Caenorhabditis elegans: one gene and its partners. The protein of the gene in region 1 purifies or fractionates together with the protein of each later gene. This does not show direct contact. Each region holds a gene or a part of one and is shown on either strand. Other genes may lie near its edges.

Region 1 (11,670 bases):
GAATACGAATGTGTTGAAGGAAAAAATTGTGAAAATTGTCAAACATAGTACAATCTTACGATAGTTATTTAGATAGTGTGTGATTAAATGTGGGAGGGGGTGAAAATTAAAAAGGCAATTCGTCGAAATTATACAATTAATTTTAATTCATAGCGAACACAATGTTCTGGCGATCCATGACCAAGAGACCGTTAGCAGTGTATTGATCCAGGCATTTCTTGAGAGCAACCTCGCTGATTCCCTTGCGAGCGCATCTTTGAATGGCGTTTGAGATGGCGATCGGGGCGTTGTCGGCATGGTAGAGCTCACGAAGAACGGCGAATGCAGCATCGACTGGAGCCATGCGCCTGAAAAGAAAATAATTTTATGATTAAAATATTCGCTATAAATAATTTTCTGAAAACTTACTTCTCAATTTTGTTCTGTTCTGGTCTGAGCGAGTCCTTAGCGAATTGCATCAAACGGAGAGCTTCTTCAACGTCACTTTCGTCGACAATCGTGGATAGACGAAGCTTAGCACGAGCTGTCGCCATTCTGACGATTCCTAGAATCATTCTTGGCGACACAAATGTTGGATCGGACGAATATCTAGCATCTCTGCGCATCTCAACGTATGCCTCGACAATACGTTCTCGAAGAGCTGGATCGACAGTTGGAGTATACGTCTTGCAAAGAGAAATGTACTCGCGAAGTGTCTCAAGCGAGATGAGATCCTTCTTCTCACGATTTGGATGGCAACCGTGCTGATGAACATATGTGATGTGCTCAGCGAGAATCTTGTCGTTCTCACGATCAGCCTTGTCCTGCATGAGAAGAATCAAATCGAAACGGGAGAGAAGTGCAGCTGGAAGATCAACGTTCTGCTCAATGGAACGATTTGGGTTATATCTTCCGTAGGCTGGATTGGCAGCGGCGATGATAGCCGTACGAGCGTTGAGTGTCGTCATGATTCCAGCTTTGGCAATCGAGATGGTCTGCTGCTCCATAACTTCATGGATCGCAGTTCTATCGTGATCCATCATCTTATCGAACTCGTCAATGCAGCAAATTCCTCCGTCGGCCAACACCAAGGCACCACCCTCGAGAGACATCTCTCCAGTGACGGGATCCTTCATCACAGCGGCCGTGAGACCAACTCCAGAAGAACCACGACCAGTAGTGTACTGAGATCGTGGAGCCAACCGGTTCACGTAGCCGAGAAGTTGAGATTTAGCAACTCCTGGATCTCCCATCATCAGAACGTTGATGCATCCACGAATTTTCATTCCGTTCGAGCTGTTGTCATTTCCTCCAACGAGAGCCATCAAAAGGCACTTTTTAACATCAACGTGGCCGAAAATTTCCGGAGCGATGGAGGCGGCAAGAGTTTCGTAGTTGTCTCCTTTGCGACGGAGAACTTCCAGTTCGGCGGATTGAACTCCATTGAAAGTTGGGTTGTCGTCAAGATTGTTGATGTACTGAAGAGTAACGAATAATTTGATAATTTTCAAGTTTTAACTTACGTGAGCTTCCAAATAGGTATCGGCAACGAGTCCTCCAGTTGGTCGGAAGCCAGACTGCATAATTGGCAAGAATACTCCAGAAACATGCACGACATTTCCAGTATTGCACTTTCTCGTCATCTCCCCGTAAACGTGAACAGTCATTGTGCGAGGAATCGATCCTACTGGGACTTGCTCGCTGAGCTCTTGAATTTTGAGCTCTTGGAACTTGACGAATTTCGATCCACGAAGCTGCATGTGAAGTCTTCCGTTGGCTTTTGCCTCAACGCATTCCTTGTTGGGACAGTTGACCGGTGGGGTGAATTGCATTCCCTTCACAGGCTGATAGACTTCGGCGGCACAAGTATCGCAAGTGTAGGTCATGACTTCAACACAAGGTTTCACCTCGGTCGCACGGATAACAACTCCCTTCATGGAGACCAAGTGCCCGATCTCGGTGGCTTTGATGTTTCGGACACACGTTTCATGGGCGGCATCGTCCGTTGTGAAGTAGACCTCGAAGCGTTGAAGGAGCTGTGGTGGGTATTTCTTGCGTTTGTCCTGAAGAGAAACTTCCTCGTTGGCGGCTCCCTCGTTCCTATCCATATGAAGACGCTGGAACATGTAGGCATCAAGAGCATCGATTACTGGCGCTTGCTTGTCTCCGAGATAGTCCTGGATCATATCCGAAATTGTGTCCTTGAACAGGACTTCGTATCTCTTTGTATTGGAAGTAATGGCTTCTGAGAGTTCAAGAGCATCTGGAATATCAGATTCCTTAATATGGTCAACATTCACAACGATTGCCTGCTTGTCGCGGCGAGCAATTTCAAAGACTTGATCACGATATGGGAATGCCTAAAAGTTGAATTTAAATACTCATTTATACACCAAATTCGGGAATACCTTTCCAGATCCGTCCTCATTGTCCACATAGTATTCGTCGAAGAAACTGCGAATTTTCGTCTTCTCGGCAGCCCAGTCTGTGTTGTAAGTGGTGGTTTTCATGGTGAGTGAGATTATAGGATTATAGAGCCGGGCTGAAATGATGGAAATTTTATTTTTTAATTGGAAAAACTGAAAAAATCGCGAAAAAAGCTGCTCTTGTAGCACAAAACCGATAATAAATGAGCGAGAGAGTGAAGGAATGTGCGGCAGATGGCAGCGTCGTCCGTTCGAATTTCGCGCGTTTGCCTCCTTCATGTCGTTGCGAGACCCACCAGAGTGCGAAAGTCTATGCGCCTTTAACTTATATTTTTCCGACATGGACTGTGCCATTTTTAGCTGTTTTTAAAGAAAATTGTTCGTTTTTTCATTGATTTTTGGTTGTTTTTAGATGGAATTAATGTTTATTTTAATTAAAATTGGTAAAATAATTGCTAAAATCGATAAATTGCTGCAGAAACGACAGGCAATTCTGAGAAAAAATGTTTTTTTTTGTCTCATCAGTAAAATTGTGGTTTTTCTTGGTTTTTTGTTAGTTTTTAGATGGGATTAATGTACATTTTAATCGCAAATTGTAAAATAGCTTTTATAATTTCGAAAATCGATAAATTGCTGCAGAAACGACACATTTTTTGTTTCAAGAGTAGAATTGTGATTTTTCATTGATTTTTGGCTGTTTTTAGATGAAATTAATGTTTTTTAATCGCAAATTGTAAAATAGCTTTTCTAATTGCTAAAATCGATAGATTTCATTAGTAAAATTGCGGTTTTTCTTTGTTTTCTTGTGCAAAATTAGTCGCTTTTTTCCAATATTTCTTTTTTATTCATGTTTTTCAGAAAATGGTCGCCTGGAGAGCCGCTGGACTCAACTACGTGCGTTACTCGCAAATCGCTGCCGAGATCACCCGCAAGTGCACCAAGCAAGTCGGAGGAAAGGCCGCTGTTAAGAAGCCAGAGGCAACTCTCAAGGTGATTAAATACGCCTTATTATTCAAGTTTTAACACGAATTTTTCAGATCACCACATGGGAAAATGGAAAGCAGCAAAAGTAGACAAATGATCGCACAACAGTATTCGAATAATTCCATTTGGATACATTCCATACCTTTCTTCTCTCACTTCCGATTGTTTATGATTTATTTTATTAGACGATATAAATTTTAAGCTCAATTATTCCTTTGCCTTTAAGTTGTTCAAGTTACCCCAGTCTTTTTGAATATTTTTTTGTGGGGGTTTTCAGGTCAAAAAACACTATTTTCAGATTATGTATTCTCCAAAACGGGTAAAACTCAATGTGACCAGTGGAATGAGAAAACGGCCCGAAACCGGCGAAAATAACGATGATCTTTACCCACCGACGGCTCTTGCTCGCAATGGGATTAGTCCGTATTTTATCGGAAAACCCCGTCGAAAAATAGTCGTGGAGACACCTTCGGATTCAGCTCAGCAGCAGCCTCCATTCAAATCTCGTTCTCAACAAAATGGTCTGGATGACGAGCTAGACGGGATAATAATTGATGAAGACGAAGATAGAACCGTTGATGTGTCGTTTTCACAAAAACAAGACACCCGGAAGCTCAAAAGTCGACCGTTTCTTGGCGAGAAAAGCAGCTTCAAACTTGGCGAAATTCCGAAACCAAAGGAGGAAAAACGCCGAGAAGAGCCGTTCACAATGCGAGGCTTCGATTTTGGAAGCGACGATAAAGTGACGAAAATCAGAGACAAAATCTGCGATATAGTGGATCCTACAAATGCTAGAAGAACTGATCCGAATTTTATTCGGCAAATGCATGAAAATACGCTGAAAGGCATCGAGGTGGCTTCAAATCCGCACTTTAAGAAGACCAGGTTCGTTAAGAGATCACGAAATTCTGAGAATGCGTATTTCACAACATATTTGACGCGCAAGATATCTCGTAGCGAAAAAGAAAACTACAGTAATTCTTTAAATGAAGCGCTTGTGTCGATTTACGGGCTTGATTCTCGGAAAAAGACACATTTTTCGAATTTTGATAGCGATATTCAATTTTTCTTCGTTTTTTTCCTATTCCTTTATCATTTTTGTGCTTATTTTTAATATTTTTTTTCCATTAATAAATTATTTTAATTGAAAAAACTCCAATATTCGCGTCATTTTGATGATAATACTCTAATACTCCACAAGCGTTTTTTTAACACTATTTCCCGTTTATTGCCGTAATAGGCGGGAAATAATATAAAAATACGCCTGTATGAGCTTACTCATCAAAAAAACGCCAAAATTGGAGTTTTTTGCAATTAAAGTAATTTATTAATAGATAAAATATTAAAAATAAGCACAAAAATGACCATGGTATTCGAAAAAAAAACGAAGAAAAATTGAGTATCGCTGTCAAAATTCGAAAATTTTGTTTTTTTTCCGAGAATCGAGCCCCCGTAAATCGACACAAGCGCTACAGTAGTCATAAAAAGAATATTTTGCGCGTCGAATATGTTGCGCAGTACGCATTCTCAGAATTTTGTGTTCCCGTAATATTAATCGATTTTTTTAAAAATGAAAGCGTCGTTTCAGAGCACCTACGAAAAACCGAGCAGCTATCCAAAATACCCTCGGAACCCTCTATCCATCATTTACGACTGCAGCCGGCCAGGATCCACAGAATAGCAAGTTCCAAGTGCCTCTGGATCGTCAATCCAGTTCCCAATCGATTGGAAGCTTGGCAGGGATACCACCGGCCAGAAGAGCACCGGATATCCCGAAACGATGCTCCAATCCGCTCATCAGAAAGGCGATGGGAATGGATACGGAAGGAGGTGGAAAAGATGAAAAAATGAGTGGATTGAGAGCTGAGCCAACGCTAAAGCACTTTGATGAAAATATCATTTCATTGATTGAATCGGAAATTATGTCTGTGAACAATGAGATCGGATGGGCTGATGTTGCTGGATTGGAAGGAGCGAAAAAAGCATTACGGGAGATTGTTGTACTGCCATTTAAAAGACCGTACGTTCTGAAAGGAGAAAAAAAGGGTTTTTCGGGTTTTTAGCTTGCTCAGACTCATAAAGTGCTCAAAAATGGCTGAAATTGGTTAAAATCTCGTTTTTTGTCAACTTTTCCACTTTTTTTGGTGGTTTATTTCACATTATTTTGTTGACGTAGGTACACTTAAAGCCGATAGGTGTTTTTAATTTAATTGTTTAATTTTTTATCGACTTAAATGAACCTAAATTGACGAAAAAATGTGATATAAACCACCAAAAGATGCTAAAAAGGATGATAATTCAATAAAATAGTGTTTCAGCTGATGCGGACAGGAAAAATAGACGAAATTCGAGATTTTAGATAAAATTAGCTATTTTTACGAGGTTTTGAACGCTTATTTTGTGCTTTTAGTCTATACACGCAAAAAAACCTCCTTTAAAGGTGGTGTAGTCGAATTTTTTATTGCATTATTAGACTCAAAATTATCTGAAAACACCGAATTTTATGATGAAACTACTTGGAAACTTCTCAAAAAAAAGTTATGAAGGCTTAAAAAATGTCCTAAAATTAGTTAACATTTGAAATTTGACCGACTTGTCAATGTCGCAGCGGCTGGAAACAATTTTTTTTAAATCACCGTCAAATTTTGAGTATGTAATGTAATTATCTTGCGTTTTCAACTTCACTTAGGTATTTTAAAGTCGATGGACGGCGAGATTTGGTAAAAAAAAACAATTTTAATCTCGCCGTCCATCGACTTTAAAATACCTAAATCGAGTTGAAAACGCAAGATAATTGACCTGTATACTCAAAATTTTACGGTGATTTCAAAAAAATTGTTTCCATCCGCTGACAAGTCAAATTTCAAATTTTAACTAATTTTAAGCCATTTTTTGAGCCGTCATAACTTTTTTTTGAGAATTTTTCAAGAAGTTTCATTATAAAATTCGGTGTTTTCAGACAATTTTGAGTCTAATAAAGCAATTTAAAAAATCCTCCAAAAATTTAATTGACAATTATAATTTTTTTCAGTGACGTCTTCACCGGAATCCGTGCTCCACCGAAAGGTGTTCTTCTATTCGGACCACCAGGAACCGGAAAAACAATGATCGGGAGATGTGTCGCTTCCCAGTGCAAAGCCACTTTCTTCAATATTTCAGCATCGTCGTTAACCTCAAAATGGGTTGGAGAAGGTGAAAAGCTTGTTCGTGCTCTGTTCTCAGTTGCTCGTCTGAAACTTCCGAGTGTTATCTTCATCGATGAGATCGACTCGTTACTATCATCCCGGTCGGAATCGGAACACGAATCTTCACGGCGCATCAAGACAGAGTTCCTGGTACAGTTGGATGGTGTGAATACGGCTCCAGATGAACGGCTTCTTGTATTGGGTGCCACAAATCGGCCACAAGAGTTGGATGAAGCTGCTCGTCGACGCTTCCAGAAGCGACTGTACATTGCGCTTCCGGAGCCAGAGTCGCGCACACAAATTGTGCAGAATCTACTTGTAGGCACGCGTCATGATATCACAAATCATAATTTGGAGCGGATTAGAGAGCTTACAGACGGCTATTCTGGAGCTGACATGAGGCAATTGTGCACTGAAGCAGCGATGGGTCCTATCAGAGACATTGGAGACGATATTGAGACGATTGATAAGGATGATGTGAGGATTCTGAATTAATATCAAACACTTGTGATCGGTGTAATCGCGCTCCACGGCCAATTGAAATTGCCCCGCCTCATAATGCTGGGTCTCGTTAGGAAGAAAAAAAATCCCATTGCTTTTGATTATGCGTTAATATCGAAGCTTCACGTGCATTTTCAAGAATCATTTCGGCATGAAAACCAGAAAGCAACTGAAAATAAATCAAAAAATGCATATAAACGGATGATTTCAGTAAAATCGAATTAAAAACTTGAATTTGCCGCCAATATTACGGTAACACTGAATTCGGAGAATGCGTACTGCACGACATATTCGACGAGCAAAATATCTCGTAGCGAAAACTACAGTGATTCTTTAAATGACTACTGTAGCGCGTGTGTCGATTTACGGGTACGATTTTCGAAACAATGAATCTCGTAAATCGACACAAGAGTTACATTAGACATTTAGAGAGTTACTGTAGTTTTCGCTATGAGATATTTTGCGCGTCAAATATGTTGCACAATACGCATTATATAAATTTAATGTTCCTCTTATACATAACGAGACCCAATGTTTAGCGTTAGAGCGCGATTGCACCTCAATTTAAAAAATCTCATTTTCCTCCGTCCACATAATAAAACACCTCCATGTTCCGAAAATGAACACTTTTCGAAAATTTATGAAATGTCATGCCACAACAACAAACAATTTCGCAACTCTCTCACATGACTGACGAATCTTATTATTTTTTATTTACCATTTGCCGTACGAATTGTCACATTTATTTTCTATTTTTGCACTCGGTCATCATAAAAATTAGATAAACACTCGAGCTCTGAAACATCAAATGCTCCGGTTTTAATCAACTAATCGATGAAAATTTCAGATTCGTGCCGTTACTGTAATGGATTTCGCCGAAGCAGCTCGTGTCGTTCGGCCAACAGTCGACGATTCTCAATTGGATGCCTACGCGGCTTGGGACAAAAAATTCGGTTGCCTTCCACCTCCTTCAATATCCCGTTGAGACCTTCAGAATTGAGCTGTCGAATATGTGTACTATAATTCCATCCACTTCTTCTATTTATTTATTTTTATTTTCATTGAAATCTTCTCCTGTATTATGCATTCCATCTCTTTTCTATATTATGATCTCAAAACGATCCGTATTTCATTGTTTTTTTTTATATTTTTTCTGAAAATTATTATATATTTTCAATTTTTAAACATATTTTTCATTATTCATTATTGAAATTTCAAGGTTTATTTTACCTTTCTCGTATATTTTTTTAATTTTTTTATTCAAATTTCTAGCTTTTTACCATTGCCAGCCAAAAAATTCCAGAATGCCAATTCAAGAAATCAAGTCAGGAGAGGAGGTTGCTGCGTTCATTAAGGAACCATCTCCAGCTGTTCTTCATTTCTACGCATCGTGGGCTCCAAGCTGTGAGCAAGTTAATCAGCTACTGGATGATTTGCTCGCTGAAATTGCTCTGCCGCTTCGTGCCGCCTTCATTGACGCTGAAGCTTTGCCCGGAATTTCGTTGAATTTCAAGATTACTGCTGCGCCGACGCTTGTATTTTTTAGTGTAAGTGAGCAACGAAAAAACAAGAAATTGAAATTTGTGAAAAAAAACAAAGAAAAGTTTCGATTTATTCTGAACTTTTTTTTAGGAAAAAAGTCATTGAAAAACGTTAAAAACCACTGAAAACCACATTTTGAAATCATTTTTTCGTTAAAATACCAACAAAAAACCAAAAAGTCCTATTTTACAAAATATTTATTCAGATGGGTCTCGGCGCGCAAAAAAGTTTATGGTAGTTTTTCATGCAATGTTCAATAAAAATTGCTTCGTTTTCTTTCCATTTTTCTGCTAAAAATGTTTATTTGTACCTAAAAAACTGGTTTCTAAAAATTTTAACAGAAAAAAATGAAAAGAAAACGATAAAATACGCTAAAACAAAGTAATTTCGTTGAAAAATGCAAGAAATAACTACCATAAACTTTTTCTGCGTGCCGAGACCCATCTGAATAATTCCGTGCGCCTTTAAGCGAAATTTTACAATACATCCAATTCATAATAAAAAATGATTAATTTCAGAATGGCAAAGAAGTCGACAGAATCGATGGCTTCGTGCCAAAAGAGATCCAATCAAAAGTTGTTCTTGTTGCCAGCCGATCCCTTTCCCAGAGCTCATCGGATGCTTCATCTACAACCTCTTCCACACCTTCACTGACTCCACAACAAGAAAAGGAAGCTCTAAATGCCAGATTGGGTGCGCTGGTCAATTCTCAAAAAGTCATGGTTTTCATGAAAGGAGATCCATCGGCGCCACGTTGTGGTTTCTCGAGAACTATTGTCGAACTTTTAAATTCACATAAAATCAAATTCGGATCCTTCGACATTTTCTCGGATGAAGCAGTTCGCCAAGGATTAAAGGAATACTCGAATTGGCCAACTTATCCTCAACTCTATTTCGATGGAGAATTGATTGGAGGGCTTGATGTCGTCAAGGAGGAGTTTTCAGATCCACAATTTATCAAGCAACTTCCGAAAGTTGGAGAAAATAGTGAGGGGGGATCACTTGAAGATCGACTCAAAAAGCTTGTCTCATCGCAAAGATTGATGCTATTTATGAAAGGAGATCGGGAGACACCAAAGTGCGGATTTTCACGAACTATCGTTGATTTGTTGAACAAGGCTCGTGCTGATTATCATACTTTTGATATCTTGGAGGATGAGGAAGTCAGGCAAGGGCTTAAGGTTAGCTCTCAAAAAATGTTGTCGAAAAATATGGGGAAATTGCTTTAAAACATGCCTTTGGTACCACAATAACCAAATATCACCGTAAAATTTTTTTATTTTAAATTTTCTAAATTTTATATGATTTTTTGAAAATTGAAAAAATCTCAGTTGAAAAAATCTCGTCGAATTCCGATTTGAACCTCCCGCCAAGTGATTTTAGCGATGGAGCGCGCTTGCTCGTTTTTGTTTTTATTTATTGTTATTGTTTTTCTTATATTCCACCGATTTTTCTTGTTTTCAGTGTATTTTTTCAGGAAATTTGAAGGAAAAGTCAAGAAAAATGTGATTTATCGATTAAAAATCAACATTAAAGGCTTAAATCTTTGAATTGAACTATTTCAGGCTTTTACGCCTTTAATTTTTGATTTTTAATCGATAAATTACATTTTTCTTGACTTTTCCTTCAAATTTCCTATAAAAATACACTGAAAACATGAAAAATCGGTGGAAAATAAGAAGAAGAAAAACACAATAAATAAAAATAAAAACGAGCAAGCGCGCTCCATCGCTAAAATCACTTGGCGGGAGGTTGAAATTGGAATTCGACTCAAACTGAGATTTTTTCAATTTTCAAAAAATCATATAAAATTTAGAAAAAAATTTAATAAAGTTTCTTACGGTGATATTTGGTCATTGTGGTACCATAGGCGTGTTTTAAAGCAGTTTCCCCACTGGCACTACTTCACCTTTAACAAATTAACTTTACAGAAATTCTCCAATTGGCCAACTTATCCACAGCTCTATCTCGACGGAGAGCTCGTCGGAGGGCTTGATGTCGTCAAGGAAGAGCTCTTGGATACGCATTTCCTTCGTCAGATTCCAAGAATTAGAAATGATTAATTAATTCCATTCCACGCTACTTGTCTTCTTGATATATTCCCCGGAAACCCCCCGTTAATTGCCTTTCAAATTACTTTATGTGTGTGTAAACTATTTTATTGTCCATATGAAATAGTACAGAGATTGTTCATCAGTTCGATCGGTCATAGAACAAGATCGTAGACAACGCGGAAGCAAGTGCTACAAACAGGAAACCCATGATTCCGGCGAGTGGTTTGAATACTGAAATTAATTTCACTGTGTTTGAGTAGAAGGATTTGTTGAAAAGCTGTGGCTATGGCTGAAATCGTGGCGAGACCTACTTTAAATAAGTACCAAATGTTGCAAATTTTTACGATATCACGACATTCAAAGTGGTCTGGCCAGCCGCAACACATTTTTTATGCCAAAACTACGGTACCCGGTCTCGACACGAAACATTTTAAACTAAATTCAAACTGGTGTGCGCCTTTAAAGAGTACTGTAATTGAAAACCTTCTTCGTCGATTTTGCATAGTTTCTTGTTTTATTGATCAAGTTTTACACATTTCGACCAAAAAACTATAAAAAATCGATGAAAATACCGCAGCAACGAAAGTTCTGAAATACAGTACTCTTTAAAGGCGCACACCCATTTGAATGCAACAAAAATGTCGTTTCGAGACCGGGTACCGTAAGTTGGCCCAAAAAAAACCAAAAATTACCATCCTCCAGGCAAATTTCTGCGGAGAGACTCGAGTCGATAAGGAATGTACGAGCTGGATGTCCCGCCAAATACCACAAGTTGTAATCATTCTGAAATTCTCAGTAGAGCGAGTTTGCTTACGCATATCACACATACCATATCAATAACACGATTCTTATTTTTAAGAACCGCAAACTTTATCGGATGTTGGGTCAGAGCCTTCGAAAATTGACCGCCAACTGAAAATTTGACGTTTTCGTTGAAGAGGACCAAAATGCACGGAAGAAGCGATGCATTGATGGACCGGAGAGACGGGAAATGGATTG
Region 2 (10,946 bases), about 14 Mb from region 1:
GGTGTCATAGACTGCAATTTGGGGCATTTTGCTTCCAAAAATGATCAGATCGCTAGGATTTTACAAAATTCAAACTCGTGGCGTCAATAGCTTCAATTTGACACCCATATTGTCTATATTCCGGCAATTTTGAAGATTTTGGTTAAACCGCGACGCGACCGCAACGCACGGTGATTTTTTGCTTCAAAATGTTGAATAAACTAATGTTTATTTGAGATTTCTAAGTTTGTATTAGTGATACTGAAATTTTTATGTCTTCAAACGTGCACAGTCCTCAGTGATACGCTTGTTTGCAAATTTGAGCGGCCGCGACGCGGCCGCGACGCATGGCTAAAATCAAATGTCTTTAAATATATACAATATGGGTGTTAAATGAGAGCTATAAACTACAAATTAAGGAAATACACGCGTTTGATTTCCAGAAACTGATTGTTTCGTTGCTACGACTGCTTCTGAACTTGAGCGACCGCGACGCGACCGCACCGCACTCAAAAAACTAAAGTTGTCTGATCATAGGCAAAATGGGGGTCAAACAAAAGCTAAGAACGTCAAAAATTCAAAAATCGTATTTTCAACCTTTAAAAGCGAACTATTCTAATGTTACGGTTAGAAACCGCGACGCGACCGCACCGCACTCAAAATACCAAAGTTGTCAGATTATAGGCAATATGGGGGTCAAATGAAAGCTAAGAACGTCAGAATTTCAAAAATACACAAATTAAAACATAAAACTGGAAAAAAAAATGGCTCACCAGTTCCATCCTCATACAGCTTGATCTTCACATCCTTCACAGCTTGGCCGTTGCAAGTGAGCTTACCAACTACAGTAACCGTCTGCTTTCTACCAACAATTCCGCCGAGCCCGTGAGCCACGGCTAAAGTCGCAAGGAAGAGCAGACAAAGTTTGAGCATCGTTTGAGCAGATTCTCAGGAAGTTTCCGTGAGTTTTGCTCCCGGTTTTTATGGGATTTTCGGGTGACAAACATGTTTTTCTGGTCCCCAGCGGCATGTTTACACTAAACAACAACTGTTCCGTTAGATAATCACCTAATCGCCGACTTTTATCCGTTTCTCATCTCGTCTGATTTCCCTGATTTCTTATCATTTTCCTGGATTTCTTATCGATTCCCGGTCGACTCCTGAGCAATGTTCAAAGAAATTCTGCTCATTTCCACTGTTTTTCTGCTCACTGATGCCTTGGGAGGTATTGTTGGGAGTAAACAGACGGTCACTGTGGTCGGCAAACTGGTCTGTAACGGAGCACCGGCTAGAGACGTCCGTGTGAAGCTTTTCGAGGATGGAACTAGTAAGTTGAAAGTTTCAAATTCGATTTTTTCAAGTTGAAAATGTCTCACCACGCTGTTAGCTTCAATTTGGCACTCATATTGCCTGTATTTGGACAATTTTTGGTTTTAGGGCACGGCGCGGTTGCGTCGCGGTTTCTAATAGTCACTATTTACCGTAAAATTAGAGCAGTTCGTTTTTAAGGATCAAAATTACGATTTTTGTATTTCTGACGTTCTTAGCTTTTATTTGACCCCCATAACGACTATATTCGGATAACTTTGGTTTTTTGAGTGCGGTGCGGTCGCGTCGCGTGTCAAATGCAAAAATTATTGTAAAGCTCCACAATGGCAAACATTTTTGAACAAAGACGTTGTATTAATCATAACTCAAAAACTTACCGCGTTGAAGCATGAAAAATGCAATTTCAATTTTCGCCGCGTTGCGGTCGCGTCGCGGTCACACACCCCAAAATTCAAATTTGTCCGAACATAGTCAATATGGGTGTCAAAATTCTTGTCTTGACCTGGAAAATCTGAATTTCCTAGTTTTAACAACAAAAATGTTAACTTTGAACATTTTATTTCACAAAAATACAATTTTCTGCAGTCTACGACACGAAAATGGACTCGGTGAAAACAATTGCTGATGGAACATTCAAGGTCTCGGGATCCCAGAATAAAATCCGCAAGATTGACCCGAAAATCAATATTTATCATAAATGCAACTATTCTGGAGTAGGTTTTTGGAGAAAAAAATTGAAAAAATTCGATTTTTTTCCTATTTAAAAAAAATTCAAAAATTTTGAAATTTTCAGCTCTGCCCAAAAAAAGTGACTATTCATGTTCCAAAAAATGCAGTTGGTAAAGGATCCAAAGAAGCTCAACTTTTCGACATCGGAACCCTCAATTTGGCTAACAGATACCCAGGAGAGGGCACTGATTGCATTCATTAAACTTTTTTTGTAATTTTTTGATAATTTTTATGTTTTAATTGGCATTTTTCATAAAATAAACGTTTAATTACAATTTTTAAAGTGTTTCTGTAAAAAAAATGAGCAAATTCTGACAAATATAGCCTAAAACCATGAGAGGGACACTTATGGGACACCTATGGGACATTCGGGGACACCAGGGGACATTTTAAACAATAAAAATGTAAAATTCGTGTTCTTCATAAAATTTGCAAAATTTTAACACCCATATTGATTATACTCTGAACATTTGGACGTTTTGGCCAAAAAACGGCCCAGAACGGCCTGAAACTGGCCCGAAACTCAAAATTTATTGAAAAATAGATTTTCTTCACCTAAAACTTCAAGATAATTTTCAGCCTTTTGATTTAACTTGCATAACAATGAAATGTTGAATTTCAGGCCAATTTCAGGCCATTTCAGGCCGTTCTAGACTTGAAATATGAGCACCACGAATTTAGGTCAAGGTAAGTGTAGAAATTTTGCAGTAATAAGAAAAACCTAAAAGTGAAAACGCAGTTCCAGAAAATCTAGAAATTCAGGCCTGAAACGGCCTGAAACGGCCCGAATCGGTCCAAATCATTTCGACAAGCCCAGTTTCTTGAAATATAGCCGATGTAAATGTCAAATCCATAAAAATGATATAAAAAATATTGCCATGTACATTAAAAAAAAAATTTTTTTTGGAAAAATATTTGAACCGTTCAAAATTAAACCATTTTTCATGTTTTAATTTGCAATATAAACGCTTAACTACATCTATGCAAGTGTTTCTGTAAAAAAAGAGCAACTTCTGACAAATATAGCCTGAAAACCACGAGTGGGACACTTATGGGACACCTATGGGACATTCGGGGACACCCGGTAAAATTTTGAGAAATATGAACTCAAAATTCGTGTTCTTCATGAAATTTGCCTAGTTTTGAAACCCATATTGGCTATGTTCTACAAACTTTGAAATTTTGGGCAAAAAACGGCCCGGAGCCTGAAAATGGCCTGAAATACAAAACTTTCCTTTAAATAACTTTTATTTCACAGTTTCAAATTTTTCAAAAACGTTTGCTGAAATTATCGACATATACCCGTCAATATTTGTTTTCAAGCCTAGAACGGCCTGAACTGTCCTAAAACTGGTCTGAAATTCAATTTTCCGCAAACATAACCAATTTAGTAGTTCCTTATACAAGTTGGCAAATTACTACAAACGCACTGGCATTAAACTGAGTGTATTGATATTTGGGCTCCAAAAAGCCCGAAACGGCCTAAAACTGGTCTGAAATTCAAATTTCCTCGAATATAGCCAATATGGGGGTCAAATAAACGGAAATTTTATGAAGATTCCAAATTTTCATGTAACAAGGCTTGAAAAAAATCAAAATTTTCAATAACTTGCTCATAAATTAATTTTTCAACCCCCTGTCAACACCAAAAATCTATAAAAGAACCCCAACAAATTCGATGTCGAAATGTGCAGAATCACCCCGATCTTTCCAACTTTTTCCCCCGAAAAAGTGGAAAATTTTACGATTTCGGCCATAAAACTCGGAAGCTTAAAAGCCAACCGTAGCCCGAGGCAATCAAAATTTCGCCGCGAAAATGCAAGTTTTCGTGATTTTCCTGGTGGTTCTACCCATTTCAGGGGTAGTTTCCATCAATATTACAGAACCCGAATTTTTTGAAATTAATATCGATCGGGACCATCCGGAGAAGCTCTACAAGGCTTTTGAGGATTTTAAAAAAAAGTGAGTTTTTTTAATAACGAAAACTTGGCCCAAACTTCAAAATTTTGAAAAATCAATTAAAAATTCGGATTCCCCATAGCAAATAACCCCTACGCCTGAGTTTTCAGAATTTTAGTGCAAAATCCCGTCAAATCGGGTGCCGGGTACGCAAACACCAGGCTACAGTAACCCAAAACACCGGATTTGACGACATTTCGCACGAAATTGTTGAAAAATAGGGTGCAGGGGTAATTTTGGGTGGAGAATTCGAATTTTTACATAATTTTTCAAAAAAAAAATGGTTTTGAAGTGTTGAAATTTCGATTTTCAGAAATAATTGAACATTTCTATTAAAATTTTTCAGAAATCTTATTGTTGCCGTTTTAAGCCACTTTTGAGAAAAAAAACATAATTTTTCACAGGTACAACCGAAAATACAAGGACGAGTCGGAGAATCAGCAGAGATTCAATAATTTCGTAAAATCCTACAACAATGTCGATAAGTAAGTGAAAAAAAACATGGCCCAAACTTCAGAATTTTCAAATTTCGAGTCGAAATTCGGATTCTACGTAGCAAATAACCACTAACCCCGTTTTTCAAAAATTTAGCGCAAAATTCCGTCAAATTGGGTGTAAGGTCCACAAACACTAGGCTACAGTAACCAAAAACACCAGATTTGACGCAAAATTGCACTAAAGCGTTGAAAATTTCGGGACAGGGGTAATTTGAGGCGTAGATTTCGAATTTCATAATGAAAATGTTTTAAATTTGAGTTTAAAAATGAAATTTTTGAATAAAAAATTTCGAAAAAAAATTTCAAAAAAATTTTTTTTTTTCGGTTTTTTTTCAATTTTTTTCAGATTAAACGCAAAGTCAAAAGCAGCCGGATATGACACCCAATTTGGCATTAACAAGTTTTCTGACCTATCCACCGCCGAATTCCACGGCCGTTTGTCCAATGTAGTGCCCAGCAACAATACAGGGCTCCCAATGCTCAACTTCGACAAGAAAAAACCGGATTTTCGCGCGGCCGACATGAATAAAACACGCCATAAGCGTAGATCAACACGCTATCCAGACTATTTCGACTTGAGAAACGAGAAAATCAACGGGCGATACATTGTGGGCCCGATCAAGGATCAGGGGCAATGTGCGTGTTGCTGGGGATTCGCGGTCACCGCACTGGTGGAGACTGTGTATGCAGCACATTCTGGAAAGTTTAAGGTAAAAATAAAACAATTATTTGAAAAATTTGAATGAAAACTGTGAAAGTTCGAGGAAAATCGGTGAAAAATTGGCGTGAAAACTCGAATTTTTCGATTTTTTTTTGAAAACAGAAAACATTGCCGTTGGAGCGCATTTACACCCTCTAGCCTGAAATTTAATTCTATTTTTCTGTAAATATATCGTAGATCACATTTTTTGCTATGTTTTCCATTTTGAAAAATGGCAAAGTTACGTTAGTTTCAAGTGTTTAAAGCGAAGTTGAACGAATTTTCAGTAGGTTCTCAGCGGAGTGCGTTTACTGCTTTTACACTAAATTTTATTAGACTTTGACTATTTTAATATTAAACTTTGCAAAAATTGGTATTGTACACGTTTTTTAAATTTGGAAAATCTTGAAAATTGGCCAAATTACGGATGTTTCAAATTTTCTAGTCAAAATACACAGAGTTTTGAGGAGTTCTCATTGGAGCGCATTTACAACCCCTAAACTAACTTTTCTCTTATTTTTTTGTGCATAGTTAATGTAGATCACATGTTTCTCTACTAGTTTCTTTTGGAAAAATAAGAAAATCTTGAAAACTGGCCAAGATACGATTTTTCACAAATTTGGGTCAAAAAATGAGAAATTTTGAAATATTCTTATTGAAACGCATTGGCAAGCCCAAAACTAATTTTTTTTTTCAAATTTTCAATGTATTTAGTGTAGATCACATGTTATTTCACTAGTTTCTTTTTTAAAAATAAGAAAATCTTGAAAATTGACCTATTTACGGATGTTTCAAATTTTCTAGTCAAAATCAACAGAATTTGTAAGAATTCTCATTGGAGCGCATTTACAACCTCAAAACTGACATTTTTTCATGATTGACTACTACAAATATAGCAGATCATATAATTAGGCGCAATTTTCAGTTTGAAACTAAAAAAAATCTTAAAAATTGGCAAAGTTACGGTAGTTTCAAATTTTTCAGTTAAACTTGGCAGAATTTCAGAATTTCACTGAATTTTTGAATTTCTATGTAAATTTTTGAATATTTTCAGTCCCTATCTGACCAAGAGGTTTGTGATTGCGGTACGGAAGGAACACCGGGATGTAAGGGAGGAAGCTTGACCCTCGGAGTCCAGTACGTCAAGAAATATGGGCTTTCTGGAGATGAAGACTATCCTTACGATCAAAATCGGGCTAACCAGGGCAGAAGATGTCGTTTAAGAGAAACTGACAGAATTGTGCCGGCTGTGAGTTGGAAATTTGAAAATTTGAAAAAATTCCAAAAAAAAAAATTTTTTTTTCAAAAATTTTTTTTTCAAAATTTTTACTTTTTTTAGAATCAAATTTTTTAATTTTCTACCAAATTTTGTTCAGAGAGCCTTCAACTTTGCCGTAATCAACCCACGCCGAGCCGAAGAACAAATCATCCAGGTGCTCACCGAGTGGAAGGTCCCAGTAGCTGTCTGTAAGTCGGCGGGACCAACTGGGGGACATGGGACATCCGGGAGTTTTGAAATTATTAAATTCAAAATCTCCTAAAAATTTGCAAAGTTTTGACATCCATATTGGCTATATTTGGAGAAATTTGAAATTTGGGCCTGAAACGGCCTAAAATTGGCCTAAAATCGGCCTGAAACTCAAAATTTTCAGTCTATAGCCCATGTTAGTGTACCAAAAAAAAATTTCAATTAAAAGCCAAGTATTTTGGCTATATTTCAGTAAATTATATTTTAAGACCTGTTTCAGGCCTATTTCGGCCTGAAATCGGCTCAATACTCAAAATTCTTTTGTTTTGGTGTCACAATTTTACCATTCAATTGAAAACTTGAAAATATTTGGAACATTTCATTTCAAGGCCAATTTTACCCTAAACCGGCCTAAAACCGGCCCGAAACTCGAAATTTGCCGATCGAAATCGATGTCGGTGCCAAAATTTTGAAAATTAAATAACCAACTCAAAAGTTTTGCTGAATATGAAGTACTTTCTTTTCAGGCCTGTTTTGGCCTAGAATCGGCCTGAAATTGGCCCAAAACCCAAACTTATCGAAATATAGTCGATATGGGTGTTAAAATTTTGCAAATTTAACGTGTAATTCAAAAATCTAGCTGAAAACCTGCAGAAACTCCAAGTTTTTCGAAAAAACTCGAAATTAAAAAAAAAAATTCCAGATTTCAAAGTCGGCGATCAATTCAAAGAATATAAAGAAGGAGTGATCATTGAGGACGATTGTAGAAGAGCTACTCAATGGCATGCCGGAGCAATTGTGGGTTACGATACCGTTGAGGATAGCCGTGGAAGAAGTCACGACTACTGGATTATCAAGAACTCCTGGGGAGGCGATTGGGCTGAGTCGGGATATGTTCGAGTGGTCAGGGGTAGGGATTGGTGCTCAATTGAGGATCAACCAATGACTGGAGACATCAAAGATCATAAAGATAACTATTACTATTAATTTATTTTTCTCACTTCTTTTTGTTAAAAAAATGAAAAATAATTATTTTTTTCGAAAATTTGTTTCTTCAAATTTCACAAAAACTCTTCAATTTTAAGCTGTTTTACTTAAAAAATTGAATTCTACGCAAAAAATGTGTTGATTTAACACCCATATCGACTATATTCGAAAAACTTGAACTTCAGGCCGTTTCAGGCCATTTCAGGCCATTTCAGGCCCAAAATTTCAAAAAGTTGCTTTGTGCCTTGCTTTTACCAGCAGTTGGTGATCTTCAACGTGGAATCCGATTGAGGAGGCAATTTTGGGAAATAATCAGCTTATTGGCTGAAATTTCTAAAATTTAAACCGAAAACTTGGCCCAAATCTGGGAATTTCGAAAAATTAAGCTCAAATTCGAACTCCGCGTGGTAAATTACCCCCTACCCACAATTTTCAGAATTTTTGTGCAAAATCCCGTCAAATCTGGTGCCAAGTTCGCAAACACCACGCTACAGTAACCCAAAACACCCGATTTGACGACATTTTGCACTAGAGCTCTGAAAATCCGGGTTCAGGGGTAGTTTTTGATGGAGAATTCGAATTTCGACTTGAAAATCTGGAATTTTAAGTTTGAAAGTACTGAAATTTCGGGTTTCGACAATCTGGAACAAAAACTTGGCCCAAACTGGAAAATTTTGCAAACCTGAGCTCAAATTCCGATTCCCCGCGCTAAATAACTCCTAACCCCCGATTTTCAGAATTTTTGGCCAAAATCCCGTCAAATTTGGAGCCAAGTTCGCAAACACCACGCTACAGTAACCCAAAACACCCGATTTGACGACATTTTGCACTAAAATTCTGAAAATTGCGTGCTAGAAGTGATTTTTCGCGTAGAATCTGATTTTGAAGTCAGATTTTCAAAATTTTGAAGTTTGGACCGAGATTTTAGGAAAAATTTAATTTTTTTTTAAAGATTAAGTTTATAAAAACAAATAAATAAATAAAAATACAACAAAAAAACAGCGAGATTCGGGGGAAAAGTCGAAAACTATTCAACTTTGCACAATTTCAGAAATTCAAATTCCAACGGGAAAATTTTCGGGAACAAGTGGGCCGAGTCGGGCAAATGATTTTGAATGATAATTCTAAAGACAGAAGTATTGATTTTATCGATTGATTCTTTTTCGGCGGGCAGGCCCTCGTCAACGTCACCGCGTAGAATTTCCATGTGATATGTGTCGATTGTGGCGGTATTTAGCTGACGGACCTGGAAAAAATTCGGAATTTTTTGGACAAAAAAAAAAGACATTTCTGACTTTAAAACTTGAAAATTCCGAAAAACCAGGTGAAAATTTGAATTCTCCATCCCAAATTCCCCCCCCCCCTTAGCGCAGCCCAATTTTCAGAATTTTAGTGCAAAATTCCGTCAAATCTGGTGTTTCGGGTTACTGTAGCGCGGTGTTTGCGTAACCCACACCTGATTTGACGGAATTTTGCACTAAAATTCTGAAAATTGGGAGTTAGGGGTAATTTACCACGGGGAATTCAAATTTGAAGTTATTTTACCAAAATTTTGATTTTTGGGCCTAAAATTTCGGCCCAAAATTGTAAAATTTGGATTTTCAGGCCCTAATTTTCAAAATTTCGAAAAATAAAATTTAAATTCGGATTCCCCGTGAAAAATTACCCGGAAACCCCAATTTTCAGCAACTTTGTGCAATTTTGCGTCAAATCTGGTGTTCCGGGTTACTGTAGCGCGGTGTTTGCGGACTTGACACCAAATTTGACGGAATTTTGCACAAAAACTCTGAAAATTAAGGGTTAGAGGTAATTTGACACGGTGTATTCGAAGTTGAAGTTATTTGGCCGAAATTTTGCTTTTTGGGCCTAAAATCTCGGCCCAAAATCATAAAATTTGGATTTTCAGGCGCTAATTTATAAAATTTCGAAAAATAAAGTTCAAATTCGAATTCCCTGGGTCAAATTACCCCTAACCCTCAATTTTCAGATATTTTGTGCAATTTTGAGTCAAATCCGGTGTTTTGGGTTACTGTAGCGTGGTGTTTGCGGACTTGGCACCTGATTTGACGGGATTTTGCGGGAAAATTCTGAAAATCAAGGGGTTCGAGGTAATTTTCCACGGAGAATTCAAAAATCGGCTCGAAATTTCAAAAATTTCGAGTTTGGGCCAAGTTTTTGGCGGTGCGGAAATCAAAATTTGGGTCAATTTTCAAAAATTTTCGAAATTTTTCCTATTTTTACCACAAAAAATCGCCAAATCTCGACGAGCATCAAATGTGTCTCATGACACGTGGAGAATTGTTCCAAATCGCAAATCGGCGCCAGTCTGCCGGGCAAAATCCCGCCTTTTTGCGCCAAAAACACCCAGTTTTGTAGCTTTTGCCGCGTTGGCTCGGAAATTGCTACGTGTTCGGGGAATTTTTCGGTATCGTTGAGCAGCACGGCCAACTTCGACTTCATGATAGGCAGGCAGTAGGCGAAACTTCGAGTTTCGGCAAGAATACGCAGGATTCCGTCGGAGAACGGCGAACGGGCGATGCGTTGGGCGATTTCAACGTGTCTGGAATGGTTGGTTTTTTGGTGAAAAAATTGGAAAAAAAATCGATTTTTTTTCGAATTTTTCATGAAATGTTCGAAAAATTTTGAAAAAATCGATTTTTCTGGAAAAATTTTGAAAAAATCGATTTTTTCGAAAAATTTTGAAAAAAATTGATTTTTCTGGAAAAATTTTGAAAAAATCGATTTTTTCGAAAAATTTTGAAAAAAATTGATTTTTTTGAAAATTGTTGAATTATCGATTTTTTTCGAAATTTTCATTAAATTATCGATTTTTTTTTAAAAAATTTAGAAAAAAATCGATTTTTTCGAATTTTTCATGAAATTTTCGATTTTTCTGGAAAATTTTTGAAAAAATCGATTTTTTTTGAAAATCTTTGAATTATCGATTTTTTCGAATTTTTCATGAAATTTTCGAAAAATTTTGAAAAAATCGATTTTTTTGAAAAATTTAGAAAAAAAATCGATTTTTTTGAAAATTGTTGAATTATCGATTTTTTTTCGAATTTTTCATGAAATTTTCGATTTTGTTTTTGAAAAATTTAGAAAAAATCGATTTTTTCGAAAAATTTTGAAAAAAATCGATTTTTCTGGAAAAATTTTGAAAAAATCGATTTTTTCGAAAAATTTTGAAAAAAATTGATTTTTTTGAAAATTGTTGAATTATCGATTTTTTTCGAAATTTTCATTAAATTATCGATTTTTTTTTAAAAAATTTAGAAAAAAATCGATTTTTTCGAAT
Region 3 (9,090 bases), on another chromosome or scaffold:
TACACTTATAATGATTCAAAACGGCCGAATATCATAATGAAACACTCCAAAAAATTTTATATTTTTCATAATTTCCGGTCAAAGTTTTTGCAAATTGCCAAAATTTGAAAAATATGAGTTTTTAAGAAAATCCAAAGCAATTTCGCATGTTCCGACCCCTACAATGTTTCAATGCAAATAATTCAAACAAAATTACGGTGTAAAAAATGTGGGAAATTTTTTTTTTGGTCGATTTCCGAAATTATGAGTTTTATTGTGATATTCGGTCATTTTGGAACCATGGGACTAATTTTAGCATTTACCCCACTGGCGCTACTCCACCTTTAACCTTATGATAGCAAATTATTCATCTTCTTTAAAAATGTATTCTTGGACTTATTTTCAATATTTATTTTGATTAAAAAACATGTCATGTTTCAGATATGCTCTACGTGACTTACGGCCGTGTTCCAGAGCCAAAGAACAAGTTCGCCCTGTTCAAGCTTCCTTTTCTTGCAAAGAAAAAAATAATTGAAAAAATGGATGTACAACAACAGTGGGTTAATGAATGTTTTATTGATTAAATACTGTTATAATTTAAGAGTGAATCTGAAGTTTGTGTCGAGCAATTCAAGAGCCATCACAAACTACCTAACAAACCAACCAAACTACATCTTGAGTATGAATTTCTCGCATGACCTGGTGGTATTGGCAGTTTCTCACTCGAACGAAAGAGGGACAAATCGTTTATTGATGCAGCTCGCTGTTCATGCCGAAGAGAATAAGAAATCTGAATTCTGGTTGCCAGTTCCAAAAAATTTCCAGGCGAAATGTTGTGACTTGGCCTCAGCAGAGGTCCGCCGCCCCAACTTTGCGGATTATAATTATCGGCAAGAATTGCCCACAATCCAGCGATAATCATCCGCCGGTAATTTACTCACACAATTCCGTTTGTTCGTTCTTTAATAATCATTCCACCATTTAAATTAATTAAATTAAATAATTCTCATTTGAATTTGCCGCCAAGGATGCAAGCGCGCGCCATTGTACACATCGGAGTGTCGTAGCGCGCGCTGTTTATTCCCTTGCTCATATTAATTTCTGGCCTAAAATGTGGCCACTATTCACTTCACTCTTCGTTCCCCTTCGTGACTGGCTGCCCGTCGCCGTTCTTCTCCCAAATATTCACTAAATATTCTCTACGTTTTTGCCTCGTTTATCCCAGCATAAAGCTGCCCTGCTCAATAAACTTGGATTTTCGTCAAACTGTGTACTGTTATTAGCACCGCTCATCAATTCTCCCGTTCCGTCCGTCGTCTTCTTGTCACTCCGAGGCTCTGGCTGCCATCTCGGACCGGAGTGTCAACAGACCTGGTGGTATTGGCAGTTTCTCACTCGAACGAAAGAGGGACAAATCGTTTATTGATGCAGCTCGCTGTTCATGCCGAAGAGAATAAGAAATCTGAATTCTGGTTGCCAGTTCCAAAAAAATTTTCAGGCGAAAAGCAATGTATGGACAAGAACCAAAAATTATTAGGATACTGCAACGAAATCTTCGAATCATTCAAAAATAACAGACAAACAGCGTACAGTTTGACATTCTCCTCCAATTTCTTTGAGAACTTTGAAGATTACACGTTCCATAAAATTGCTCAAACGTTTCGAGTCGAGGATCCAGATCGAATTTGCGTGAACTTTGAAAGCAGACCACTATCGATGGAGCGTTCCGAAAATTGTTCGGCGAAACCGAGAAAATTGAGCGACTGATGGGAGTGGTGAAAGAAGCGTTTGTTGCAAACGACAGTATCATTAGCTCGGTGAATAAATGGAAATCGATCGAATTTCATTGCCCTGTTGAATCACACGTCACTGAGAAACTTTTTCAAAAATGGACCGAAGGATCGAAGTTGGAAATTATTGAAATTCAAGAAGTGGCTCCAAGAAGCATGGAAGCGAGAAATTTGATTCACAACATTTGAATGTACACAAATCATAGTTTCCTATAACTACCATATAAAAGTTTGAAAAAATATCGCAAGAAAAAACCACAAACTTATTTCTCACCCTAATAGTTTCAAATACTCTTCCTGTGTTTCCATACTGTTTTTTCTGTCTAACTATATAACAATTTTCAGATTATCCTTATCGATGGCTTCTCAGAATTCCAAGATAGCTGTCAGACAGTTTACACATCTTTATAAACTTAACTTGATAATATTTGTGTCAAAACGAATATTTGTTGCAGTATGTGAGGAACCAGGTTTTCCTCATCTTTCTTTTGCTCCTGAATTGAAGAAGGATATTGAATCACTAAGGAAAATTTGGAATCTACCGGAAAGCGTTGCCACCCAAAAATGCTTCACAAGCTCGGCTCTTGTTTTTACATATAACAAGGAAACTATGGATGAGCGAATTGTGGGATTGGTGAAATTATTGAAAGATGTATTCAAATCCGAAAATGTGATTGTGGAAATAGACAAAGAAAAACTATTGATGATGTTCGTAACATTACAAACCTCTTGACCACAGCAATGGGTTCCAGGATAAATTCAATGATGGTGGCGAGAGAATTAGTGAATGAAGTCGGCCATATGATCACTGAAGATGAGGTCGGCAGATTGGGAACTGTGAGGAAATGGGCCCCCAGTCCCCCAGAATATGATGAGTTCTATATTGGGTTTGATGATTGGGAAACTGCTTGTACTCATTGTTATTAAACTCGTGCTCCTCTACAAATTTCATTCAAAATTTTGTTGTAATGGGCGAGCCTGAATTATCTTGAAAAACTTACATTTTGCATCTATTTTTCAAGCTGTTCCTATTACAAACTCTATTGTTCAAAGTTTTTTTTTAATTTTCCGGAACTTGTGTAGTATACCTGCCAAAGAAAGTCAATCATTTTGAAAATATAACGTGCCTTTTTTTGTCTATATTAGGCTTAGAATTAGTGTTTTTTAAACCTAAAAATGCATATTAATTTCACTTTTCGATTACCGTATGTTCTCTATTAGTATTGCACCCAAAGAAATTAGTCTTGCAGTCTCTAATAGTATTGCACTGAAAAGGTATCCGGAAATTAGTATCGCATGCAATACTATTAGAAAATATGCCGGAAAAAATTCTCGGCAAATTGTGGTTTCGCACTTTTTTTTTGGAAATTTCAGAGTTTCAATTTCAAATGACAAAATTGTACGCATCGTATAAATGTTCCTACATCTATTTTTAAAAGTAAGCTCTATGAAAATATGTAGAAAAAACAGAAAAAATTCATCCGTCTGTTAAAAAATCCCTTTAAAAATTTCCGGCAAATCGGCCAAAGGGAAAATTGCCGGAATTTAAAATTTCAGGTTTTTACCTAAATTAACTAATGTAAGTACCAATTTCCCTCCCAAGTCCAGAACTAAGCTCCCATCATCATTTTTATTTACTCCACTCTCACTTAAATTTTTTTCAAAAACTTGTATTTATTGCCTTCTTCTGTTATTCCTTACCTCGCTCATCACATAATGATTTCATTGTTTTACTTTCTATCCACTCCCACTGCAAAAATTGAAACCTTTTTCACTTTTTTGCTCGCATTTCCTTATTAAAATTAATAAAAATTTTTAAATTAAGCCCTGAACGCACACTTTATTTATAAAATCAAGGCAAAATCAAGTTCAGTTCTAATTCGATGTGGTTGTATTGGTGGTAGAAGTGCTGGCGTGTCACTTTCCAGAACGAGCGGCTTTGGCCGATTCGATTGGGTTGATTCTCTGAAAATTTTCAATTAGCTGTTCCCCAGCCGGGAATATCTCACCGAGTAGATGTATGTTGCTTCCGGTTCCTGTGTATCAAACTGGACCTTCTTGTCGGAATACTCATCATCCACTTTTCCATCACTCAGCGCTCGAGCACTCTCATGGACAAGCAACAGACTCCGAATCGTGTTGGAGAACACCAGCCCGGTCTCAAAGTGAACTTCATCTCTCTTCTTCAACTCCACCAACGGTTGTAGCTCGTTGAGCACCAGTTTCGTGGGGGGAATGCTTTTGAGACTGAGCTTCTTGTTTCGGTACATCTCCAAATGATCGGTACTCACAGTGATCGCCTCGTCGGTCTCTTTCTGAAATTTTTTAAAATTATTTTTCCTGAGACCTACACAAAAAGATAACTCACCATGTCATCGTCAGTTGGTTCTATTTTTACTGCCCAGGTGGGGACGTCCTGACCCTTGTACACATCTTGCTCTGGTTCCTTCTTAATGTCCTCCAATTTTCGAACGTGATCATAAGAATCCTCAACGGGAAGTAAAGACGTCTTCAGTTTCTTCTTTGAAGTGTTGGTACGGTAGAAAGTGGATGGCTCGTCGCACAACATCATACCATCGGGCTTATTCTTCAATCGATATGGTTTTTTCGGCACTCGATCCATCAGAAGCTTGCTTTTCGCATCGATTGGTTTCGGTTTCGCCGCCGACTTCTTCTTTTCCCTCAACTTCTTATAGACTCGCTCCGTCGTCTTATCATCCACCTCGTGATTCGTGACCTCGATGTTTTTCGGTTCGTTGAGCCGTGTCGTTCCGGGAACTGAAACAGGAAATTGTGGAGGTGTTAGGGTTTTGGATTTTCAGGTAGGTACAAAGATGCCTGCCTACCTACCTACTAAGGTAGGTAGGCATTTTAGTGTCTACCTAAAGGCAGAAGATGAACAGGCAAGCACAATTTTTTTGTTGGAATTTTTTTTATACGTCATTAAATAATTTTGCTTCCACGTGGACGTCGTGGATTTCAATGTTTCAAATTGATTTTTTTTTTTCGAATAAAAAATGTTTCAAGAGTTTCCAGAGGCTTTAAAAATTTTTCATAAGCTTTCAAAAATGTCTAGATGCTCCCAGAAGCTTCTGAAAATTTTTGGAATTTTTCAAAGTCATCAGACGTTCCAAAAACTTTCCAGAATCTTCCAGAAATTTTCCAAAGGTTTCTAAAACTTCCGAACCGTTTAAAAAACTTTCCTGAGCCCTTTAAAAGTTTCCAAAAAAATTTCAAAAAAAAAACACTAGAACTCACTGCGATTTGCATTAGGAATCTCATGATCTTTTACAGCTTCCGGTGCTTTTTCCTTGTAATTCACCGTTCTTGAATCATTTTTCCTTGCTATCAACATCTTTTCCGACTCTTTCGATTTATCCACCGACAAAGATCCACTAGTTGACTTAGTTTTTGTCTTCTTATTTTTACCATGTTGCTTCGACTTTTGAAGTTGTTGCTTTTTATGACTGCGTGCCTTAGATTTCTTTTTCTGAAATTTAATTAGTTCTGGAAGACGCCTGGAAATTGAAAATTTCGAAAATCACAACTTACTTTTTCGTTAATATTTTTAACTTTTCTTCTCGAGCTTTTTTTGGACAATTTCTTCATGATGGGAGAAGATGCAACGCGAAAGTTTCGAAATACAAAAATAATGAAAAAATTCAGAGTGGGGGTAGGGGATGTGATAAGAATCTTCTCGTATTTTTGAAGTTCACGTTTTTTTTAAATTGAACTTTTGGTGCAGTTTTTTGGAGTAATTTATTTTATTTAAATTAAAAAAAAACATTTTCTTAACCTTTCCAATGTACATAAGCACAAATGTGCCACTTGCCTGCAAGGCGACCTATGCCTTCAGGCGAGAAATATGCGGTAGAGAGGTAGAAAAAACGTATTCTGGTTTTGAAGATATATATTAATTTAATATTGCATAACTTTTTTCGGTTTCGCACGAAAATTTCTACACGCCTTTGAAACGGCCTACGCCTGCCTTTTGCCTACAGTAGATAGGCCCATAGGCAGGCAGGAAAGCCCAACTAGTTAAAATGTTATTTTTTAATTTTCAAGTTCACGAAAAATGTTAGTCTGCAGGCCACTAGAACCACCTACACCTGCCTCGTTCTACACACATTCCTAAAATAGGCGGTAGGCAGGCATAAAATTTCAACATTGCAGGAAAACATGCCATTGTTGTAGTTTCTCTTGAAATTTTCGCGCCGATACAAAAATGATAGCTGCCTACTAGGCGACCTGCGCCTGCCTCGTGCCTAAAATAGGCAGTAGGCAGGCACGTAGGCACTTTGTCCAGAAAAAAGGTTTTATTCACATTTTTTGGTGCATTTTCAAGAAAAATTTCTATATTTGAACTTTTCCTCTCCAAAAAGTTATAGTTTCCAAAAAACTTGTAGTCTCCATACCTGATAAGTCGTTCAAAAATCAGTGAGCATTCCCAACGTGTCATCGCCATGTGCTTCTCCCGCTCCAAATTTCTTATCTTTATTACTGGAAACCTCGGCTTCTCCCCCTCCGCCGCTGCTCCCGTTTAACATCAGAAACGATACGGCTCCGATGCTCCTAGGTCTTCTCGTCCTTTCTCTCGCATTTCAGGGTAGAGTTTTAGATTTACATTTTTGTGTTTAAATTCCAGGAAAAAATTTTCCAGGCACCCTCGCGGTGACAGAATGCGAGGAATGCAAGTCAATTGTGGACCTTTTGCAATTTGAGTGGGGAGAAAAGAAGACTGAAGAATGTGTTATGGAAATTGCGGTTTTTATTTGTGAAACGTTCCATATTGAAGATAATGATGTCTGTAACTTTATTATTTCGGATTTCTCAGTGAGACACATTAATATTTAATTTAATTTTAAAAATGTATTGAAAATCAAAGATTTCAGGACGAATTCATGTATGTCATCAAGCAAATTCTCGTGACTCCACATCAACTTTGCGGATTGCTTATGAAAAATGGTAAGTACTACCATGCCTAGGCACAAACATGCCTACCTACATGCCTACTACCAGACCGACGCGTAACAGTGACCCGCCGCCCTAATAGAACATGGGGTGCGGGGCGGCTTGAGAAGATTCTAGTAGACTGCCAAGCTGATCACTATCTTTCAGGCTAGTCACGCATGTAGGCGCGTAGGTAGGCACGATTGCATGCCTATTTGGAATTATTTCAGACTGCGGAGACTTCGTGGATCCATTGGCGACAATTTGGAACATGACGATTCCTGGAAATCAGCCACCATTCGTGCCGAAACAAGTTGTTCCGGTAGGTTTTTTTTTTGACAAAAAAGGTATGCCTACCTATGCCTGCCTACTACTGTCTACTGCCAAATTTTCCGAATGCCACTAGATAAGTGGTAGGTTTGCACGTAGGCATAAACAGGCGCCTACCCCGACACCAACAAAACCTCCAATTTTCAGCCAGGCAACCCAACTCTGCGAGCACTTCACTTGACCGACCTTCATGTTGACATGTTCTACACGGTCGGGCTCGAGGCAGACTGTGGAACTCCGCAATGTTGTCGACCACAAGATATGAATGTGGTATGGTGTTTAATTTGGAAAATTGTTGAGAAAGAGGGAGAAAGAGCAACGATCACAAAGGTTGCTGAAAAATATTTATTTGATAAGGAAGTTGAGATGGGAAGGAGAAGCCCCCGAAGTTGGGGGGTTTCTATTTGAAATTTTTGAATGAAGAAATACTTAACAGAACCTCTACAGAACTCTGCACTTTTAACAAATATGACTATGTAACGCTAGAAAACAAGTACTTGTCAGAAGCATTTCAAAAATTTGACTTCGCGCGTAATTGAAGAGGCCGCCGACCAATCAGCGATGCACAAAGGGCGTGGCTCTTGTCGCTGATTGATCGGCGCGATCCTCACGTAGGCACGTATAAACCCTTAACTTTTTTCAGGAAATCGTTGAAAACGGAGATGTCAAACAACCTGCTGGACCTTGGGGAAGTGTTGGTTCGTGCGACACACCTTATTGGCTTCTCACGAACATGCTCCAAAACATCGCAAGTACCGCTGGAAAACTGGACTACATTATGGTATCCGGAGACCTTGTGTCCCATACAGTTTGGGCGTACACTCCGGAAACCCACTCGTTTATGGTAAAAAACTTGTCGGATACGATTCGCTCGTATTTCCCAAAAACTCCGGTCTACTTTGCAGTCGGGAATCATGAAGGAGTTCCTGTTGATAAGTGGGTGAACTTGTATTCTATGTTTATCACTCACGACCATTTTTACAGTATTGCACCACATTTCACACCGAAGAAGTATCATATGGATTGGCTCTACAAGGCCATGTCAAACGCCTGGCAGGGATGGATTCCAGCGGATCAGGAGAAGAGTTTGGAATAGTTGGGTTTTTTGAAGAGTTTGGGAAAAAAATTGTAAGCATCTCAATTTCAGTAACGGATGCTACATGAAGAAGATCTATGATGGGCTTCGAATGATTTCGCTGAATAATGTTTATGGAGATCGCATCAATTTGTAAGTGAGGGTACGGTGAGGTGTACGGGAGGGGTACGACAGGATACGGTAAGGGTACGGTAAGAGTATGTTAGGAGTACGGTAGTTTTGCGATAGGGGTACTGTCGAGGTACGGTAACATACAATATAGGTGCTTTATGATTAGGGGTATGATAGGTGTACGGTGGGGTCTTAGGCAGACATCATATGGCACTGTTGGGGTACTGTTGGGGTACGGTAGAATACGGTAGGATAAGGTACGGTGGTGGTACATTAAAGGTATGGTGAGGTACGGTTGGGGTACCGCGAGATACGGGAACAATATGGTAGGGTACGGTAGAGGTACAGTATCGGCGCGGTACAAAACGGATGCAGTAGGGACACGGTGTGGTATAACTGGTGTACGAGAGGGATACGGTAGGGAGACGGCAGAGTTACGGTAAGGACACTGTACGATAAGAATACGGTAGGGATACGGTAGGGACACGGTACGTTATGATTGGGGCAGGCTAGGGGTACGGTAGCGGTACTGTAGGATTACAATAATAATGTTTTCAGCTGGCTATACATCAACCAAACTGACCCAGATGGCACCCTTCAATGGCTCATCAACCAGCTCCAAGATGCAGAAAATGTTGGAGACAAGGTACATATCGTTGCACATATCCCTGGATCCGACGGAGAAGCTCTTGAAGGATATGCTCTAAACTATTATAAGATTATCAATCGGTTAGTTTCAAAAGTTAGAAGAGAAGTACGTAAAAATTGTAAATGATTTCAGATACGCAAACACAGTTGTCGGTCAATTCTTCGGGCACACCCACTCTGAAAAGT

The links.
Region 2: the proteins of figl-1 (region 1) and Y51A2D.8 fractionate together in Caenorhabditis elegans (co-fractionation; one large-scale study listed by BioGRID). This does not show direct contact.
Region 3: the proteins of figl-1 (region 1) and W03G1.2 fractionate together in Caenorhabditis elegans (co-fractionation; one large-scale study listed by BioGRID). This does not show direct contact.

Annotation. Positions count from the first base shown.
Region 1 is NC_003283.11:4,338,017-4,349,686, reverse strand, and holds figl-1 (Fidgetin-like protein 1), read left to right. Parts: upstream 1-3,687; 5' UTR 3,688-3,690; coding exon 3,691-4,274; intron 4,275-4,977; coding exon 4,978-5,409; intron 5,410-6,420; coding exon 6,421-7,051; intron 7,052-7,922; coding exon 7,923-8,060; 3' UTR 8,061-8,256; downstream 8,257-11,670. Other genes in the region: mcm-7 (DNA replication licensing factor MCM7), read right to left, coding at 143-347, 409-1,457, 1,503-2,339, 2,388-2,489; hpo-18 (ATP synthase subunit epsilon, mitochondrial), read left to right, coding at 3,267-3,395, 3,443-3,478; glrx-3 (Glutaredoxin 3), read left to right, coding at 8,380-8,622, 9,136-9,798, 10,549-10,680; irld-1 (Receptor L-domain domain-containing protein), read right to left, coding at 10,811-10,902, 11,364-11,454, 11,501-11,670. UniProt on the Caenorhabditis elegans protein: Has a role in spindle assembly which acts in the progression through mitosis during embryogenesis. Required for fertility.
Region 2 is NC_003283.11:18,546,754-18,557,699, reverse strand, and holds Y51A2D.8 (Cysteine proteinase), read left to right. Parts: upstream 1-3,849; 5' UTR 3,850-3,853; coding exon 3,854-3,999; intron 4,000-4,400; coding exon 4,401-4,481; intron 4,482-4,839; coding exon 4,840-5,203; intron 5,204-6,247; coding exon 6,248-6,442; intron 6,443-6,569; coding exon 6,570-6,660; intron 6,661-7,364; coding exon 7,365-7,648; 3' UTR 7,649-7,697; downstream 7,698-10,946. Other genes in the region: ttr-25 (TransThyretin-Related family domain), read right to left, coding at 1-11, 753-912; ttr-24 (TransThyretin-Related family domain), read left to right, coding at 1,147-1,306, 1,894-2,021, 2,102-2,239; ints-5 (Integrator complex subunit 5), read right to left, coding at 8,676-8,894, 9,890-10,208.
Region 3 is NC_003282.8:520,985-530,074, reverse strand, and holds W03G1.2 (Ribosomal RNA-processing protein 8), read right to left. Parts: upstream 5,424-9,090; 5' UTR 5,379-5,423; coding exon 5,322-5,378; intron 5,260-5,321; coding exon 5,028-5,259; intron 4,548-5,027; coding exon 4,138-4,547; intron 4,085-4,137; coding exon 3,779-4,084; intron 3,735-3,778; coding exon 3,687-3,734; 3' UTR 3,584-3,686; downstream 1-3,583. Other genes in the region: Putative sphingomyelin phosphodiesterase asm-3, read left to right, coding at 6,336-6,375, 6,430-6,602, 6,662-6,734, 6,950-7,041, 7,197-7,319, 7,693-7,985, 8,034-8,144, 8,197-8,277 and 2 more.